Linked DNA regions of Nothobranchius furzeri. The protein of the gene in region 2 binds, or shares a complex with, the protein of the main gene of each other region. Links are inferred from orthologs where the notes say so. Each region holds a gene or a part of one and is shown on either strand. Other genes may lie near its edges.

Region 1 (6,580 bases), on a different chromosome or scaffold from region 2:
ATGTATGGTTGCAGCAGCCGAGGCGACGCATCCCTCACACTTAAAGAGAGGGTCTTTCCACTAATGATGAGCAAGAACGCAAGCAACAAGGTAAAAAAAAAAAAACTATACAGAGTTTTATATCACATTTCTAGTTTGCCTGTTTAAGAAGTTGGTTTTTATCTCCGTGTCTCATCTAAATCTTTACTCTTAGTTCTCCTTTAAAAGCTGCAAATTCCGGGTGGAGAAAAACAAAGAGGGGACTGGGCGAATCTCCATGTGGAAACTCGGCATCAGGAACAGCTACACCATGGAGGCCACCTTTGGAGGCTCCACTCTGGGTGAATATGCTCCCCCTCTATTATGTTGATGCATTTCTACACTTACACCATCATTTCTTCATTTTTACTTTAGATGACAGGAGAGGGACTCACTTTTCCACTCAAGACCTGAAGTCCCTGGGCTTTAACTTCTGTGACACCCTGCTGGACTTCTGTGACCCCGACAAGACGAAGGCGAGAGATCACAAAATGCTCCTTTTCACCTAAAAGAAACAATATATTCTACAAACTGTAATAAATAAATCAGGTTTAAAAAGTGTAATTAAATGGTGTGAGATGTTTGTTCTGTGCAGGTTTAGAGGTTAATTTTGTGTTTTTTATTTATTTTATTTTAGGTTACACACTGTTTGACAGAATTGGCAACAATGCTGGGGAAGAAGGTCAGAGAGAGAACTGGCAAAGATGTGGGCACCGACCAAAAGGTCTCTGTGTCTGAACTGGAAACAAGGTGAAATAATGTTTCAGTTTCTTGAATCTAGTGCCATTCAGGGAAATCTGAATGAAACTGATGTGCATTACTCTGCTTTGCTTTTGCAGCACCGGTGGCTCAAACAGCTCTGACTCAGATGGACTTCCAGTTCATCTCCTGCAGCAGCTGCAGAATGCAGAAGTATACAAAGACTAATTAAACCAAATTATGTTGTTTTTTTCCTCTAAGGGAAATTAGTTTGTAGCATTGTTAGTTATTTCATTTAAAAATACCCAATTTAAACAAATAAATGTTGGTATGAAGCACACCTGACACTGAAAAAAAGAAATATTTTATACTTGGTCTTTTCCAGGTGTTTTGTCCCATGACTGCTAGGAAATAGGGACAGAGCAGTGTGCAGTAAAAGTTACTTTTGTCACTTCGTTAAAAAAAAAGTCTCAGCAGCTCATCATTCCCTGTTTTGGGTAATTACCTACTCACATTGTTCTCTCCTACAGAAAAAAGTCAAGAAGAAAAAGAAACGACTGAAGTCTCGCAGAGAAAGAAACGGGCTGCAGCCAGACGGAGCGAGGAGTAGTGCACGGCCAAAAGTCCTACAACGCAGCAGCACGAGTATCGTAAGACTAGTAAAGAGCCCTTGCTGCTCAGATTAAATTAGTTCTGTAAGCTGATGAGTAACCGTTTCTGCAGGAGGCTGACCTGCCTCAGGACAACACAGATAAGCAGAGAAAAAGAGAGAAACCTGTTGGAGGAGAAAGAAGGAAACAGCAGGTAAAAACTACAGTAAGTAGAAATATGATATGTGATACAAGTAACTAGGTGGGAAGTTTGATTTCCTGATAAGAGACTTTTATTTTGAAGCTCAACACCCTCATAAAAAAGGTTGAACTCTCATCTCCCACTGGTAACCATGGAGACGCCAGTCAGGGGACTCTGAGGAAAGACTGCAAGCACATCTTGGTAAACATTATTTCGGTAACACTTTACAATAAGGGTCCCTTTATTAATGTTACTTAGTGCATTATTAAGCATGAATAAATTATTAGATAAAAGTGTTAACAACAGCTTAACCATATTATGTAATGCATTACTAAGCAGATATCGTCCATGGCCCTTTGTCCTAACCTTAAGGACACCTAATAGTTAACAATAGTGGAAATGTTTTGTTTATTAATGCACTAAGATTAATAATGGGGCCTCTATTGTCAAGTGTAACTGTTATTTCTGCTACAAAATTACATGACCTTTAATTTTTGATCATTAATGAAAGATAATAAAAAGTGTTATTTTAATTCCAACTTGTGGATCTTTCTATGGTATTTTTTTGTGTGTTTTAGGAAAACTGCTCAGGGAGCCGGTGCACTTCATGCCTTCAGCGGAGAGCGTCTCCACATGCCGACACGCGCGCAGCTGCGTCACCCCACTCAGGTAAGGTTAGGAGACACATAGGAGGTTTTCCAGCAGATAAGGACGCATGACTCGTTTCACAGGTGATGCAATAGTGAGAGGACAGTGGAAATGCTCCTCTCAGCTACTACACCTGAGTGCTCTCCTTCCACTTCCTCCAACTTTCATTCCCTCTGCGCAGCACCAGCGTTTCCCTCTGCGCCAATCTCTTTCCCACTCTCAAGTCTGCAGAGGTTTGTTTCTTGAACAGCAGCTTAAAGTCTCCATCGGTTTTTGCCTAATGCGAACCACCTTCTTCTTTCAGGGCTGACATCTCCTTTTGCAGCACCTGGCAGGTAAACTTCATGGATAGATTATAGTTTATTACAAAAGGGTGTGTTGTGTGTTCATAATTTTTGTATGCTGTGTTGCTTTCATGGCAGATGTCCCCCATCTTTGTCTACCAGCATGGCTCCAGCTGTTGTTCCAAAAAACCAGCCGCTGACGAGTTTCACCTCCACCAATACCAGCAGTCGGCATCGTTTTAGAAACAGATCTTGTCTTCAGGCGTCCTCCACATCAAACACAAACCTAATCAAGACAAAGCAGTGAAACGGGTGCCAGGATTCTTCTCAAAGTTCAGCTGCATTTTAATAGAACAAGTTATTTTTGTGACAATGATGCTTCATTGGGAAGATCTAACAGAAAAACACATACGTTTTATACCAAATCTCACTTATCTCTTCGTCTTGTGACAATAACATGCTTTAATTCTTCTGATTATTCTAATGCAATCTCATGATTTCTCAAATAATATTTTCAGTACATGAAAATAAATGTTGTAAAAAATATAAAATAAAATAAAGCACTTGGGTGTTTCATGAATTTTGTTGAAACTTTCTGTTTTGGTCAGAACGTTTCAGTCCCTCTGAAGCAAAAAGCTCCTGAACAAAGAGCAGCGTAAATGTCGGTAACTTTGTACAAAAATTTCTTTTGTAATTAAAAAATAACTAAATGGTCAACAAATCTAAACCAGATGCTAACTAACAGTACAGAGTGAGTCAAGTAAACATGATTTACTTCAAATTTACAAAAGCAATGATACAAGTGGAACAAAATACAAAAATAAATATTTTCTATTATTTTTTAGCATTAAATTTAAAATTGTGTGAAGAAAGTGTACCAAATCCTATATGCAAATACATAGTTTTTGTCATTTGAGACTGGGAGGTATGAAGTAAGAATAAATCCTGATCAAATGGAACACCAGAACATATGTGGACGTCAGTCAAACTGTTGGAGATGAAACTGGCTTCCTGTGTGTCTAACCATTTCCCGCAGGGCCACAAAACCAAAGACAGCCTGGATCAATCAGAAAACAAAAAAAAAACAGATTACAATCAGTCACAATTACTTGATCTCAAATTTGAGAAAACACAATAACATGTGTATTTAGGTGCATTTGCCACGTAAAATGGAGCTGAGAATCCAGTCATACCTGTGTGAGGATAAATATGGCAAGAACTATGTGGACACCTCTCTCCAAGGGCAGTATGATTATGGCTTCATTAAAAAGTTGAAAAAGAATGAGTGGAAACTGCAGCAGGATGCTCAGCAGCCAAAAGCCGGCCAACTCTGGAACCTTCCACAGATCAGAAATTACATTCAAACCCCACCCTGCATTCAGCACCTGTATCATGTCATCTGAGATGGTCTCACCTTTTCTTGCAGGTTTCCAGAGTAACCAAGATAAAGTCTGATGGCCTCAATCAGAGTCATCAGTAGAAGAACAGTCACAAGGACAAACTTGTAGTAATTTGGAAGGGCAGGATACTGCAAGAACAACTACCATCAGCATTCTTGTTGTGTTGGAAGCTTCAAAACATACATGAAAAATCTGATTCTAAAATGAATTGCTATAGTTTAATACATATCCATACTTAAGCACCAAAGTATCCTAAATCTAGCTTAGATATTTGGGATTTTTCTTTCTTTCTGGGTTTTCTGCTCGCGGCTTCCATCCACCAACCTCGTACCTTGAGGTGAAGCATCACAGCTTCACTGATCCACCAGAACGGGAAGAACCACGTGTTAAAGTACAAAGACATCTGGAGCTGGAGGCTGGACAGAACCCGTTTGTCTAAACACATACAAAAAAAATGAGGGGAACTAACTAAAATCGGTATGGTAAAGTAACAAGGCTACACACATCCATGCTAACATCCATGCTAACTCGACTTCATAGTTAGCTTGTGTTTTTGTTTTTTTTTTTTACCGTGAGGTATAAACGAGTCGTTGTGTTTTGAGAACGGCTCATTACGAGTCTGGTCGAATAAAACATTCCGAGAAAAATCTTCTAAGCGCCTCCTAACTGTCTCCGGCAGCTCCATTGCAAAGAAAATCAGGCTAAAAACAACATGACCAGAGGAGAAACACTTCCGCTTTTTCCTACTAGCTCCGTCGTGAAAGCCACCGTCGTTTCCATGGTAACCATTGATGGTAGTGGGGGTGAGAGAAAGTGAAAGGCCAGAAGCAAAACGTGTCTCCTTTTGCGTTTTCAAAACTTCCCAGATTTTAACTACATTGATAATAAAAATTTAAAAAGCGAGACTAGATAGGGGGGAGAGTATAATGTGTAGCTCAAATAATATTTATGGAAGCTGATTAACGCTACTCATTAAAAAATATCTCATTTCATTATTATGAGATAGCATTTGATATGGCTTTATGTCTCAGAATAATTAGTTACTATGAGACAGCATCATAATTTTTACTAGCTATCTCATTATAGTGATACTAGGGTTGCAGCTATCGAACATTTTAGTATTCGAACATTCTATCGAACCCTCTGTTGATTCTCTTTGACAATGTTTTAAGTGAAACAAAATTGTGGCTTTCTGCAAAAAATGTGTATGTAAAAATAGTATGTATTCAATAGGTGTTGTCTAGTTCCCTCCCTCTCTGCACCAGTAAAATTTGGTGCACATATTTAAACCCTCCCACTGTCCTAATGGGTGTGACCCCACGAGGAAAGTTGACCATTGAGCAGGGTTGATGGTTTATCCCTTGGGTCCACGTGGCAGGGGTGAGGAGTGAGCACCACCTCACCCCTGCCACGTGGACCTCAAGGGATAAACCATCAATCCTGCTTTATGGTCAACTTTCCTCGCGGGGTCACCCATAAAGACAGTGGGAGGGTTAACAAAGTCTTGAATCAGTAAAAAATAGTTCATGAAATTTAATTAATCAAACCATTCATACCATTTAATGATTAATTTCCACCCTACGTGATGAGATGTGGGGCTGAAATGAATAGATAGTATCTCATAATTATGAGACGCTATCCCTAAATAATGAGATTGTGTCTTGTTATTATGAGATAGGTAAGTCATAATTATGAGATACATTTTTTTAATCAGAGTGGCAGGAATGGGCTTCCATACTTATGGGAACCATGCTCAGTAAGTTTTTTTTAGTTATACAAGTCAGGCAAATAACACCAGGAGGAGGAAAAAACCTGTTTCATAGTTGTTGTTTTTTTGCTTTAAGAGAAAATGAAAATTACTGATTGTGTGTGAAGCCACTCCCGCTCTAGCAGAAACTAGGATGGCTGCAACAAGAGAGGCAGCTGATTCTCTGTCCAGCTACATGTGTTCAAAGCTGATGAAGAACCCTCTTTACTGTGGACATGTGGACTTCTGCATGGACTGTGTGAACAGCTACTGGGTCCTGAAGGAGACGAGAGGTGTTTACAACTGTATTCAGTGTCTACACACATTCCCCTCAAGACCTGTGCTGAACAAGAACACAGTTCTGGCTGATCTGATAGTAAAACTGGCTAAATCAGACCAAGCCACCATTGCTGGAGAAGAGGAGTCTGGGTCAGAAGGTGTGGAGTGTGATTTCTGCACTGTGAAGAAGCTGAAAGCTATCAGATCGTGCTTGGTGTGTCTGGCCTCTTATTGTGCCACACATGTGCAGCCTCACTGAGTCTGCTGCTTTCAAAAGGCACAAGCTGGTGGAAGTGTCATCTTCCATGCAAGAGAAGATCTGCTCTAAGCACGACAAGCTGCTGGAGGTTTGCTGTCGCACTGACGATGAATGCATTTGTCTGCTTTGTGTCATGGATGAGCACAAAGGTCATTACACTGTATCAGCTGCAGCAGGGCGGAAAGAGAAACAGGTACGCTTTTTTTGGTTGGTTATTGGATCCCAAAGATACAGCATATAGATAAAATGTAGAGACTTTATTCCTACATTTTAAATGTCCTTGTGGTTGAACACATTATTGAGCAAAAACAAATAAGTAAAACTTCTATATTTTATTAGAAACATGTTGGACACAAGAAGCTATTCCAGCAAGGACTTCATGAAAAAGAGAAGCGTCTGCGACAGCTGAGACAGAAAATAAAAGCATTACAGGTGGTTATAGTTAACAGATTAA
Region 2 (7,055 bases):
CAGGCCAAAACAGAACAAATTATCTAAGAACTTGCCTACCCACAATGCACCTTGCCCATTGCAGCTCCTGCAGTGGGAGGGGTCATTACTATATTATAAGTAAAATGACATATATACATTTAAATTTGCACTCAGAACACATTTGTTTTATGTAAACATTTATTGTTTAACGAGCATGCCGTCATCCAAAATGATACCACTACATTTATTCAACATGCATAAAGCCCTTTAAAACGCAGAGGGAAAAAAATAAAACACACGTCTGCATTTTTAGCATGGTTACTTTTGTCCTGAATACATATTTTGTTCTTTTTTCTTGTTTCTTCTTGCCCGTTTTAATGTTGGTCTAAATGCACTAAAAGCTCTAGTTTGAGGTGAAAATGAATAATTGTGCTGCCAAAACTAAGTTTTGAGGTTCAAGGTAACTTTATTAATACCCACAGGTGAATTTGATTTGCCATGTGACACGAGAATTAGCGCCCAGGTTACACACACAGTCACAAAACACACACATCAATGAAAAATATAAACAATAAATGAATAAAAATAAAAATAAGTAACGTTACTGCCTTGGGAATAAAGCTTGTTTTGCACCTCTTGGTCCTGCACTTTGGCACAATAAATCTCCGTCCAGATGGCAGGAGAGTAAGCTGGCCATGCAGTGGGTGTCCCGTGTCCCTAACAATAGCTTTAGCAATCCTCTCTACCTGTCCACTGTACAGCTGTGCCACACTTTTCCCTGTTTTCCAAGCAGACGACCGGACCACTTTACTATCCTGTTCAGCGTTTCCTTTTGTTTAAGATTTACCTGACCAAACCATGAGGCTAAGGAAAAGGATAAAACACTTTCAATAAAAGAACAATAAAACATGGACATTATAGTCCTGTCCACATGGAATGAGGCCAGTTTTCTACGGCAGTACAAACGCTGCTGGCCTTTCTTACCCACAGCATCACAGTTTTCCTCAAAATTCAACTCCTTGTCAATAATTGTCCCCAAATATTTATATGATTTCACTTGCTCAATCGTTTGACCTTTAATTATGGAAAGATCATGCTGTTGTTGTGGCTGCCTTCTAAAATCGATGATCGTATCTTTTGTTTTAATTACATTAAGTTGTAGATATGATTCATCACACCAAGAGATAAAATCATCAAGAACAGGTCCACGGCTGTAATCTCCTTCTCTCTGGAGACTTACTACTACCGAATCATCAGCATATTTAATAATTGTCCTTCTCTCATGTTTGCCTCGGCACATGTTAGTGTATAAAATATACAACAAGGGGGACAAAACACAGCCCTGGGGAGATCCGGTAGACACATTTTTCTTATCCGACAGGGTACCATTCACTCTGACCTTTTGTGTTCTGTTGCTCATAAAATCTAGTATCCACCCAAGCATGCTTTTACTCAGGTGAAACTGTTCCTCTAGCCTATTAACCAAAGCAGTAGGTTGGTGTTGAAAGCGGACGAAAAGTCCACAAAGAGGAGTCGAGCATGAGTTCCTACTAGGTCCAGATGATGAAAAGCATATCTAACAGAGTGACCGTTGCATCCTCCACACCCCTCCCAGCCTGATGTGCAAACTGTAGAGGGTCCAGCAGTCGCTGTGTCTGCTTTAAAAGCTCGCATCTAACCAGCTTTTCAAAGATTTTCATTAAAATGGAAGTTAGAGCAACAAGGCGGAAATCATTTAAAATACCTGGATGTCTCACCTTAGGAATCGGTACAATTTCTGCATCCTTCCACGGTTCAGGGAACTTTTGTAACCGTAAAGATTCATTAAAAATGTGGTGCAGTATAGGTGTCAGCTGGTATGCACAGAATTTAAGTAAGTGGCCACAAATGTCATCTGGTCCTCGGCTCTTGTCCACTCTAACTGTCCTGATGGCCCTACCTATGTCCTCCATGTCAACTTTAAAATGGTCACTATCCTTAAATTTCTCCCTCAGGACACCCTGTTCCCCGCTGAAATCCAGAGCGTCATACCGACAATCAAAACTGTTCAGGGCATTAGCTAGTTCCCTGTCAGTGTTAAACGGGTCTAGACAGATGGTTGTGTACTGTGCCTCGGAGCCATGTCCTGCAATAATTCTCATGCTAGTCCATGCTGAACCAAGTTTATTTGCTGCCATTTTGTTCTCCAGCTGTCTTCTATATTCATGTTTAGCCTTTGTAATTTCTCTTTTTAACAGTATGTTAGCCCGCTGTAACTCAGCCACTGACCCCTGTTTAAAAGTGAAAATGAATAATTATGCTGCCTAAACTAAGTTTTGAGGAGTGTGCAAAGCACTAATCAAAGTGCTTTCCTCAAAATAAAAATATTCCCTTTGGATCCCCGCTGGTTACAACATTAGAGTAATGTATTGCAAACTAATGGAATTTAAAGGCAACACGTTAAATGAAAGACATGCATGTTTACCTTTCAGTATGAAGTGCTATTAAATCTAACTGGAAACTGTCAAACACGGCATGTCGGTCAGAAAAGGGCAAAAAAAAAAAAACATCTAGCTAGCAGTTATTTTCTCTAATGAAACTGAATTTTCAGAAGTGGTATCGCCAAATACAAACCAGATCCGTGGCAAGACATTTCAGTAAATCCATTTTTACAAACAGTCACATCCTCTCCTACAAAACCAGACAAGCACACGGCATGAGTGTATTTAAAGCACCGACTCTCGTTAGTGACAAGATCATATCAAACAGGCAAGATGACAAAAATCTTACCGTCGTCGTTCTGGTTATTTCAACTAAGAACTGAGTCAAAGTGAAGCAAAGCAACACGCGTCATCCCAACTCTGAAATCCTCGGCTAAATCTGGCAGGACTGAGGATTACTTGGGGTCAAAGGTCAGATGAAGCAGCAGTGAAGTGGTTTATTACAGAGAAGTTTAAAATGAAAGGATTCAGTGGAATCTGGTTTAATCTTTCTAATGATACTGGTACAACAGTAAACTACTCAAAGGCCTCACTTGCATATTTAAGTATATAAATAATAAACAAAGAGCTCCAAAGTTTCATAAAGCTATATGGTGGTTGTTGGTAAATCCTTGGTCAGTAGTGGGCTTGTCATGGTACTCAGACCTGAGGGGATTCAGATGTCGTTCTGGATTCCTTTTTTCCTGAATCCCTTACGAACGGGGCATGGTTTGTTGCTTTTTGAGGTCTTTTAACCTTCCTTCTTCATGCTATCAGACAAATTCTATTGAAGTGATTTCTTAATGCTACAATTCTTCAACAGGGGAAGTGAAGTTATCTTTATAGATAAGGGGTTAATTTAACAAAAGGGGAAAAGTGTTTAAAGATAGGGCAAAGTTGTTTTGGATAGCTTTCTACTCCTTCGTTTTATGTTAACCCAGGTTATATTTGACTGATATTTACATTTTTTGCTTATCTGAAACATTTTTAAATGACCTGACTTTCTAGTTCTAACTTCCATCGTGTACATTTATTAATGCTCAGCAGTCACAATGAAGCAGGTGCTTCTTTAGACAAAGCAATATGTTAGTAATAAAAATAAACACTTCTATAACAATATAAAGATTTAGACGTTTTTGAATATTTCTTCACCGTTATGAAGATATTTTACAAAATATTTAAAATCTTCCAATAGCATATTTTCTTTTAAAACTCCTCAAATAAGGACCATTACTTTTACGTTGTAACGTTTTACGATAAAATTTGCAGTACTTCCGCTTTCTAGCTGAGGTGCTGCTTTCAAAGTAAAAGCTGACTTCCGGTTCGTGCTTTCACGATTTAAAAAGCTTTAAAAACATTTTTGAAACTCCTTACAGTAGCAAAATAACATAGTTAAAATATGTCCCAACGTTACATTAGACGTTTAGTATTTGTGTGGGTGTTACTGGAGTTATGCTTCTCTTACACAACATCTATCATCTAACCGTCTGTTGCCATGGAAACGTGGTGAGTGTGTGAATGGCGCAGCCGGGGAAGAGCACGCTAGTATGATCGGCGGTCCCTCCGTTTGTTATGACACTGCGGCTGCAGTAAGTAATTCATATAATATGAGAACAAACAATGATGAGGCTGCGTACGTGGGTGTGAGTCACTGACCTGTGTTAGCGGAGGGAGCTCCCTGACCCTCTGAACATACAAAGAACTTACATTAGTTCGAGCATTATCGCGTACAACATTAATATTATCACATAAACACTTCAAACGAACAACTTAACACAATAATAAAGCATTTGACTGGATTGCATTGATATTATTTGACGTATTTAAATCACAAAACACTATGAAGGCTAGCTAAAGAGGGTAAAAACTTCCCACGTTTGCGTGTCCTGCGTCCATTCTTAATCTTTTCACCGAACAACACGACAGTAATAAGCAACCCGGTCACACCCTCATCAAAATAGAAGCAGATTCTACTCCAAAAATGTTTTTAAACTCGAGTAGCGCGCTAATTGTGTTTGGAGCAGCGTTCTTGGACACCGGATGTGCGCGCGAGAGCAATGTTTACGTCTTCAAAATAAAAGCGACGGATCGACGTAAATATCAAAATGTATTATTGTTATTAATATAGAATAGAAATCATTTTTTGTCAGTGGAAGAGGTTGAAACCGTAGACGGGGACTGTTGGATAACCTTTGACCCCACATGGATTCACCCTGTAAGGAGGCTAATCTTTTCTGGAAAGCTCAGTGTTTTTCATGTAGATTATACTTTTATGCGAAAATGTTTTTTTATGTCTGTAATTGTTTTATGTGTCTTTTCATCAAGTTCTAAGATATGTTCTGCTTTTGCTGCTGCCTCATGGCCTGATCCTTGTTGTAAGCAAGTCACAATTACAATAAATATGAACACAAATGTGCAGGAAAAACGATCTATTCATAAGAATTTAAGTTTTTAAATACAACTTTTTGAGATACGACAAACAAATATGTATTCTCTTTTAATAGTTTTAAACAAATTATGCTTTTTAAAAAAACATATCTTAAGAACTACAAAGATATTTTTGTCACTAATGACACTTGATAGAATTTAATCTCCTAATACAGTGAAATGCTTTTCTCAATAATGCTGCATTTTCAATAATGCTGCATATTATTGAGAAACAAGTGTGAAGTGGGAATCAGTTTCATGTTCACTTAGCTCTCTCTAGCGGTCACTCACCGCTATTGCATCCTGCTCACCGTTGTTGAATCAGGAAAGATGAACAACAAACTACGGTAGTTTAAAAAGCTAAGAAAAACATGCAGCGTTATACCAATACAAAAAACATGTCTGTCGCCATGAGCACATTTATTTAAAAGGGACACACTATGAAGATTTTAAAGCTATAATAGTTCTTTAAAACAATTTTATAGTATTCTTGGTTTTGTTAACATTGCTGTAAGCCAATCAGAGGCTAGATGTTGGCATATCATGAATATTAATGAGAAAGACTTGTAATCAACACCAGAGCATTTTTTGTACAGAAAACGACTAAAAAGGGATTCAGTCATAATAGAGACCAAAACACATTTCTTGAAAAAAAAAAGTGAACGAGACTTTTTAATTTGTAAATACTCTTGTAGGTAACAGCTAAATGGGAGATGGTATGCATAGTGCCTTCTAGAGTCTTTAAACCCCTCAAGGCACTTTACAATACATCAGTCTTTTACTCATCCACACACACATTCACATGCTGGTGGTGATGAGTCACAATGTAGCCACAGCTGCCCTGGGGCTAACTGACTGAGGTGGGTCTGCCGTACACACTAGTCACCAGTTCCACCTGAACACCACCAGCATGCAAGGAGGGTGAAAAAACAACTGCGTCAGACTGAGTGGTATCAAGTCTCTTGAAAACAACCAGGTCTCCAGTAACTAACCCATATGTACCCCAAGTTGTGTATTCCTAAGCTGTGTCAGACCCAAGTTAAAGCTTCTATAGTAAATATGGAAAACAAGTTGGCCTAAAACTTTTAGCCTCTTAACAACATTCTAACGTAGTAAAGCTAAACTGGAGATTTAAAAAAAGAAATAAATTCATTCAATGATTCTCTGGCATTTGTGTTAAAGCCACCGCCAACACCAGCAGCTATTTAACCAAACACTTCCCTGGGTACTCCGTTCATCACACACTCACGTATTTAGCAGCAGAACACCACTGGTGTGAGAGGTTCTCCACTAAAATCAGAGAAGGAGAAACAGCCGGCTGCTACCACTTCTACTTTAGGACAAACTACTAGAGTCCCAAAGAGAAAAACACCATTTGAAGTCACGACCAACAAAAGAAGTTTGGACCTAGAAAACCGCACTATCTTGTGTCCTCCCACAATGCTGCGGTTCCAGCAGAAGGTGAAGAGGGAGCTGAGCCAGAAAGCCAGGCTCTCGATTTACCGGTCGAGCTACGTCCCAATCCTCACCTATGGTCATGAGCTTTGGGTAATGACCGAAAGAACGAGACCACGGATACAAGCGGCCAAAATGAGTTCCCTCCGTAGGGTGGCCGGGCTCAGCCTTAGAGATAGGGTGAGGAGCTCGGACATTCGGGAGGGACTCGGAGTAGAACCGCTGCTCCTCCGGATCGAAAGGAGCCAGTTGAGGTGGTTTGGGCATCTGGTCAGGATGCCTCCTGGACGCCTCCCCGGGGAGGTGTTTCGGGCATGTCCTGCCGGCAGGAGCCCCCCGGGTCGACCCAGGACACGTTGGAGAGGTTACATCTCCAATCTGGTCCGGGAACGCCTTGGGGTCCTGCCAGAGGAGCTGGTGGAGGTGGCCGGGGAGAGGACGGTCTGGAGCTCCCTAGTTGGGATGCTGCCCCCGCGACCCGGACCCGGATAAGCGGAGGAAGACGACGAGTCGACGAAGTACATAACTCCACATGTGTTCATTCATAGTTTTGATGCCTTCAGAGAGAATCTGCCAATGTAAATGGTCATGAACATAAAGACAACACATTGAATGAGAAGGTGTGTCCAAACATTTGGCCTGTGCTGTAAAAGTGAGCCACTCTGGAGTTGAGCTTCAGACGGCAGGATTTGGAGTCTTATTTCCTGACATTTGGACATCTTGCCAAATATCTAATATAACAGCAATACCACT
Region 3 (6,980 bases), on a different chromosome or scaffold from region 2:
TGAAATGTATCCTATCGCCAGAATAAGATTTCACCAATACACATCCCTAACACTAATTAAAGATTTCAATAATCGAGCAGCCCTACACTATGTAGGTTCAGTTGGAATGTTTACTTTGCAAAGTGCCTTGAGAATATTTTTGTTGTTATTTGGCGCTATATATATAACCTACATTGAATTAAAACAGAATAAGTCCTGTGTGTGGTGGTTTGTAGAACTACAGGGTCTATGATGAACCTCGAAGCTCTGGGTTAAACCGCATCCAGATCACGTGAATACCCCTTTAAACCAACAGAGGCATTCAACTGGAAACAAGCTGATGAGAAAAATGTTAATATCAACCTTTTCACTGATGAGATTGGAGAGAACCAAGGACTCATCCATGAGGAACACCTCTGGTATTGATGGATTATTTTACCACCTTCTGGTGTTTCAGACCTATCTGGACTTAGCTTAATGTGTTTAAAAGTTCAGTGAAAAACTGAAGCTAAACAAACTTCCTGTTGTGTTGCAGGCGGTCCAGCTGCACATCAGATTCGCTGACCGCACCACCACCTACAACAAAAACAGACTGATATTTCTGCAGCTGAGAGTCAAACAGCTGACTGATCAGGCCCAACAGATAAAGGAGTTGGACTACTGGAGGGTGAGGGGGTGAATCATGGTGTAGACCATAGACTGTACATATACCTGAGGCCTGAGCTGTCCTTTAAAAAAACGCTGTGTTCTCAGGCCATGGTGGCTTACTTCTACAGCATCAACTACAGCACCAACATGTGGATCTTCTGGTGGCCCATCCTCCGAGTCATCTATGTGGTGGTTTATGTGGTGGGATTTACCAGCATCTAGTAACGCCACATCATGGTTACCTGCACTCCTGATCTGAGTCAAAACAGATCTACTCTACTTCTGTCCTTAGAAATGTGAGGCTGATTTAGTGTTTGGCTTTGTCACTTTGGCTTTTATTTAGAAAGTTCAGACATAAAACAGTCTTACAGAAGGAAAACTTTAAACATATTTACAAAATAATATCGTTGTATAAAAATACAGGTTCCTTTTAGTGAGGAAGGCTCATCTGGTCTGTCCTGATGTGTTTCAGATGATGGTTTGTTCTTCAGTAAACCTTAGACCTACAGAAGAAACGGAAAAGGAAAACAAACCATAAAATAAAAATAGGTCACTTCCTCTGAAGCCCCCAATAGCCCCCAAGATGTGGTCACCTGGAGAAGGTGGATATGGAGATGACTCCAAGGAGAAACTCTAGGCTGTAGAAGCAGAGCAGGATGGAGCTGAGGATAAACTCGAGGCGAAGGACGAAGGTCTGCAGCAGCAGGTAATAAACAGCCAGTGCCGCACAGGGAAGCAGGATGGAGAGGGACATGCAGGAGGACAGAGAACGCTCACACAGGTTCCCCTTCCAGCCTAGACGACGACACAATGCACACCACTCAGTGAGATGGTCTATCTGCTTAAAGCAGAAAATAACCTGCTTCCATTTCACTGAAGGGCTCCCACAAACGGAGGCTTTTAACGGCAAGAGCACAGATGGGACGACCCAAACATTCTCCTCAATTTTTAGAAGCACATTTATGTCTTCCTTGGTAAAACAGGAAATGAAATAGAACTTGTGTAGATTCTCATAAATGTCACTTTGTGATGATGATTAAGTTTGTTTGGTATTTTTTTGCCTGCTTTCTGTATGCTGTGGTAATCCTCAGACTGGTGGATTGGTTGGGAAAGTCATTGAACTGGTTGTGGTTGTTGTTTTGTTTTGATTTGATTTTTGATATTTTTTCCAAGATTTGACTTCAGATTTCATGTGGTACGTTTGGGAAGTGCGTAGCTTTATATTAAAACCAGAGGATCCAAGCCTCTTTAAAAACTTTATATAGCTTTTATTTTTTATATATTTTTAAATCAATTGATTTCAGTATATTTAGACACCTGTTGTACTTGTTGCTATAAAACGTCTCATAAACAGTGATGACTGAACATGTTTCAAACTGGTTAAATTCATTAAGTTAAAATCAGAGCTGGTTTGGCTGCTTAGTCTTGTATCAGAGGTTTAAAGAGTTTACAGTAAACATTTCACTTCACGAGTTCTTCTCAGTAGCTCCTGCTGGATGACGTGTTCAGACACACACGTTCACACAAACTGAGACACTGACTTCTATGTTATAACTAATATAACTGTTCAGCTTCAGTTTTAATGATTGTGTTCAGTTATTTATCAAAGACAGTCTGGTGCAGGATTTTCACAGGGATTTAAAAACAAGTCCTTACATGTGCTGTAGAGCCATAATTAAATACATGTGTTGGGAGAGTTGATCACTGGGTTTCTGTTTTATTCCTCTTTTTGTTGTCATGGTGACGCAACAGGGGCCACATGGGTGCAGGTGGTCGCAATCAAAAGGAGCTGTCAGTCTGTCGCCTGGTGGTTTTACAGAGGAGGGATGGGTAGCCGTAGTTATTGTTGACCATTACAATTCAGTTCGTCTTACTTTGTTTACATGGTCACGTTATGTTTAGGGATTTGACCCAAATTAAGTTAAAGCCACCTGTAACAGTAAAAAGCTATAATAAATGGAGAAATGCATCCCATCTCTCTGTGGGTTCATGAGAAGCTGACAGCGCATCAAACAAATAGACCTGGGGCCTCATTTATCAAGCTTGCTTACACACAACACGGGGTCGGAAAACTGCGTAAGGAACTTTCCACGCAAACTTTGGGATTTATGAAAGAAAACTTAGCAGGAAAATGTGCGCAACTTTAAGTTGACTAAGGACCTTGCTTACACACATGTTGGACATGGAGAGCACCTGCAGTGCTGCCGAGAAGGATAAAATTATGAAATCCTGCAGCATTATCACTTGTACTGCTTCGTTTTCACACAGACAAGACCCCCACATGCACACACACACGCGCGCACACACACACAGCCTAAAGCGCAGAATACGGAATGCAGAATATCAGCAGGGGGACAGATCAAGACAGTGTGAGCGTCCTGTCACCGTGACCCGATTGATCATGCGCCCTGGCTACTTGTACAGGGGAGATTTCTGTTTGGGTGGCTGGTTAGCGTGCGTGACTTTCACCTGGGAGTCTGGGGATCGAATCCTGATTGGACAAAGTTTTTTATATCCGCCACAGATCTCTCTGAAGAATTCAAAACATTGATGGCTTCAGCAACATTGTGCCACTCCGTGGAATTTCTCTTGTTTTGCAAAAGCACTTCCTTTCATTTCTCCACCTCACCCACAAGTACCTGAATTTCTGCTTGTGAAATAGCGCTTCCTTGATCTGCGGTCGTGATCGAAATGCTGCAACAAGCCAGCTTATGTATATGCATGAGATCCACAAGGCACTTTGCATTGGCTATTTATGGCAGTAAGTGGCTGTGGTGAGGGCGGGATGTGACTAAAAAGCAGCTGAGAAACATTCTCGTTAGTCTCCGATTTATGAAGCGGAGATTGCGTGCAGCTGTGCGTCCTCCATGTTTGATAGATCACAAACCTGCTTGGCGTAAGTACTTTTTTTTTGCTGAGCTTAAGTACGGTTTTATTAAGGAATCTACGCAATGTCTGATAAATGAGACCCCTAGACCCATTCTCTGCCTCTATAGTGACTGTGGAAGTATGTGGTCACCCGGAGGAGGTGACGTATACATGCTCACAGAACTAGTAAACACTGATTTCTAAATACTCATGTTTGCTGTTTCTGTTCTTTACCATAAAAGATCCTCAGAGTCTCCAAACCGAGGAAGAGAAGGAGCAGAACCACGTCCAGAACCAGATTGTCTGATGGGTACGGCAACAAGATTCCTGCACAGACAAAATGGACCACATCTCTTTTTGGTTTCCACAGAGAAGGTTTCATCAAGGAGCTGTTTGGTTGCCAGGTGTTATCTCATGAACACTGAGGATTTATTTGAAAACTAAAGCAGATGAAGGCACAGTTGAGATGTGATTAATCATGGTTCCTCCTGAGTTTATAGTTTCTGCTGTTGTGAAAGTGGGAAATTTGGTAAATATGTCACAGACCTTTATAAATGAACATGAGGATCTCTGCCAGGTAGAAGGCAGCAAAGTACCAGCTGTTCAGGTACAGGAGCACCTGCAGAGGAGTGGATGAGAGCTGTACGAGAGACGGTCAAGGATAACAGCAGCAGGTAAAACATGAGCTGCCAGTTATATAAGGATACAACAGGCTGGCTTCCTGCAGAAGAGACAGAACCAAGCTCTCATTAACATCTGCAATTAGTATGCTGTAGGCTCAAAATCAGCATCAGTAAAATTACTGACTTACTACTGATGGATAAAATAGTAAAAGAAAAACAGTAGGGCTAAATGATGTAACTAGCTCTAAATGCTATTTATATAGAGAGAAAATCACTCATCTGGATCTTGCATCTATAAAATAATATTTTTGTTTACGTAAAAAAGCACGAAATACGTGTTTTCCACAATAAAAAGATTATTTGTTACTGCGTAGCTTTTAGGAGTAATACGCAGTAACGTGTTCGCTGATAAGTAATGTGTTGATTTTTAGGTCATCGCAGTTCGAGCAGACGCTTAGCTTCAGTTCACAGACAAGATAAACCTCGGCTGCCGTTTTCTTTAGCTTTTCCTCCAAACGGAAACGAAAACGTTACATTTCCCTTTTCATTTGGGTCCAAATAAACATCGCGACAGATTCAGACGGCGGACTTTTATTCGGTTTATAAGGAACAAACAACTGCATGAAACTCACCAGGCGCCATGTCTTGATTTCTGGTTGCTATGGATACCATAGACTTAGAACACATACACGCTGCTTTCTTTTATGTAATTTCGAAGCCGCCATATTGGAGAGGGAGACGGGCGAAGCAGACTCAGGCTTTTTGGAACGGCTTACAGCTAAAAGCCAGCAGATCTTTTACTACTCTAATCCCAATCCATACTCGAAGCATCAGTGGTACGGAACATCTCTGTTTAAAATTTAATCCATCCACACCGGTCGCAGTGCAGAACATTTTAGGCGCATCTCAGAAGTGACTCGCCTTCATGTTTTCTATTTTTTAAGATGTATTCAGATCATCACCCGTCTTCATTTGGTCAGGATGACCCTGAACAGTCTCCATCAGCTGCCTGCACTGCACTACAGACACTAACAGCAGGATTAAGACAAATCCCGATTCATTTCAATCTTTAGTTAGAAACGTGACGAAAACTAATTTTGTTTAATTGGTGTCTAACTGAAACTGGGCTTTACCTCTGTTTTGTGTTCATCAAAATATTTTTATTTCATATAAAAATTGTTCGTGATTAATAATCAAGTAATTTAGAAAATTTAGGCTATTTTTTATTTAGGCCTTTTTTTGTTGTTTGTTACTCATAAAATGTAATACAATCACCAGGGTAATCGATCGTTTCAGTATACTGAGCTTAAGATAATTTTGTGCTAGTTAAACCAAATCAATAAGAATGTATTGTTTTTAAAACTAAAAGAAACCAAACTCATTAGCTCAAAATTATTCACCAGTTGTATGTTTTTTTTAAATATATATTGTCTGTTTATTCCGACACTATTGTAATCGTAAAACGTTTAGGCTTGTAATGAATCAAAAAAGGAAAACTATATTTCACGCCATAAATGCATTATGCAGTCTGAGGATTTCAGTGCAGCTTCTACATTTTACATGTCTGTGTGCTTCCGGTCGCGCTGGTTTTTCTTTTTCGGTCCTCTTCATCATAAGGGCTGCACTACTGCCCCCTTTTGGATCTATCGAGTTTCTACAGTCTTTCACGTGCACCCGTGGATTAAAAACGGGTCTAATGTGTATGTCGATGGTCTAAACCTGTTTTGTTTTTTGTGTTTTCTGTAGAATATATAGTTACGTTAATAAAATATCAAATCAAGCTTTATTATTTTTCCCACAAATGAATCTATTATTCATCAAATAAAGAGCTAAAACAAAACAAAATTGGGTTATTCTATTTTTCATCTGAAGTAGCCTATTGGTTTTCTTTATAAATTCAAATTCATTCAGTCTATCATTTATCACCCAAAGATTGCAGGAGAAAATGTTTAATTGTTTATTTATGAAATTGTATGTCTGTTGTCGGACAAAAGAATAACCATCACGTTCAAATAATGATCACTTTATACAGAAAATCAATCTATCCGTTTTCTGAAACTAATCACATCCCATTTCGATCCAAACCAAAAAATCGCAGAGGGTTCTGTAAAATCGTTGAAAGCATTTTAATTCAAATAAGGGCCAAGGTGTCAAAAAAACGGCAATATCCAGCATGCATCAGCAGCGTACTGATTGGCCAGGACTTTTCGAGGGTTTACGTGGCACTGTTGTTCCTGCGCATGCTCAGTGACAAGTCTGTCCCGGCAGGAAGATGGTGTCGTTGCGGTTCAAGATGCAGCAGTCGTTTGTGTTTTCAGTTTTATTCCTGAATGCTTTATACATCTGCGTCTCCTCTTTGTACTTTCACATCGGAGAGACCGAGAAGAAATGTTTCATAGAGGAAATTCCAGACGAGACGATGATTATCGGTGAGTGTCGGAGCTTAATGCTGTTAGCTAAAGCTGTTAGCGCCATGCTGAGTTGAAGTAAACTTGTCTCTTCACAGGAAATCAACAAATGTCAAGCTTGTGCTGAGCTCAGAAATGTTTTATATCTCTCCGAAGCTTTATATAAACCTATATCCTATAAACTATTTTACCGGTTGCAGCTAAACCGATTCAATTATGCGTTTTCAGGAAGTTTCCTGTTAGATTTTGTTTAAAGTTGAAGTAAATACATATCTCTGCTTAATATTTCTTAATTATATATTTCTTTAAAAATTCTCCGCTTGAATAGTGAAAAACTGATGCCTTTTAGGTTGCAAATGTAAACGTGTACTATGTTGACATCAGCAGTTTAATTAAAAGAAATATTTAGCAACCGTTTGATTCCTTCTTAAGGTAAATAATCTATCTCTTTTCA

The links.
Region 1: transmembrane protein 237B (region 2) and tmem17 share a complex: the UniProt entries of both Homo sapiens proteins name them as parts of the tectonic-like complex. The link is inferred for Nothobranchius furzeri from reciprocal best matches to the Homo sapiens genes TMEM237 and TMEM17.
Region 3: transmembrane protein 237B (region 2) and tmem216 share a complex: the UniProt entries of both Homo sapiens proteins name them as parts of the tectonic-like complex. The link is inferred for Nothobranchius furzeri from reciprocal best matches to the Homo sapiens genes TMEM237 and TMEM216.

Annotation. Positions count from the first base shown.
Region 1 is NC_091744.1:77,712,318-77,718,897, reverse strand, and holds tmem17 (transmembrane protein 17B), read right to left. Parts: upstream 4,610-6,580; 5' UTR 4,527-4,609; coding exon 4,412-4,526; intron 4,277-4,411; coding exon 4,173-4,276; intron 3,970-4,172; coding exon 3,856-3,969; intron 3,779-3,855; coding exon 3,635-3,778; intron 3,499-3,634; coding exon 3,421-3,498; 3' UTR 2,763-3,420; downstream 1-2,762. Other genes in the region: agbl2 (cytosolic carboxypeptidase 2), read left to right, coding at 1-90, 194-320, 394-494, 656-768, 858-930, 1,248-1,367, 1,441-1,533, 1,612-1,710 and 4 more. UniProt on the Homo sapiens protein: Transmembrane component of the tectonic-like complex, a complex localized at the transition zone of primary cilia and acting as a barrier that prevents diffusion of transmembrane proteins between the cilia and plasma membranes.
Region 2 is NC_091742.1:64,220,551-64,227,605, forward strand, and holds the start of transmembrane protein 237B, read right to left. Parts: upstream 4,501-7,055; 5' UTR 4,317-4,500; coding exon 4,293-4,316; intron 4,107-4,292; coding exon 4,077-4,106; intron 1-4,076. UniProt on the Homo sapiens protein: Component of the transition zone in primary cilia. Required for ciliogenesis.
Region 3 is NC_091741.1:65,724,158-65,731,137, reverse strand, and holds tmem216 (transmembrane protein 216), read right to left. Parts: upstream 4,828-6,980; 5' UTR 4,806-4,827; coding exon 4,751-4,805; intron 4,217-4,750; coding exon 4,203-4,216; intron 4,136-4,202; coding exon 4,042-4,135; intron 3,823-4,041; coding exon 3,730-3,822; intron 1,423-3,729; coding exon 1,221-1,422; intron 1,131-1,220; coding exon 1,115-1,130; 3' UTR 935-1,114; downstream 1-934. Other genes in the region: tmed9 (transmembrane emp24 domain-containing protein 9), read left to right, coding at 6,391-6,547. UniProt on the Homo sapiens protein: Part of the tectonic-like complex which is required for tissue-specific ciliogenesis and may regulate ciliary membrane composition.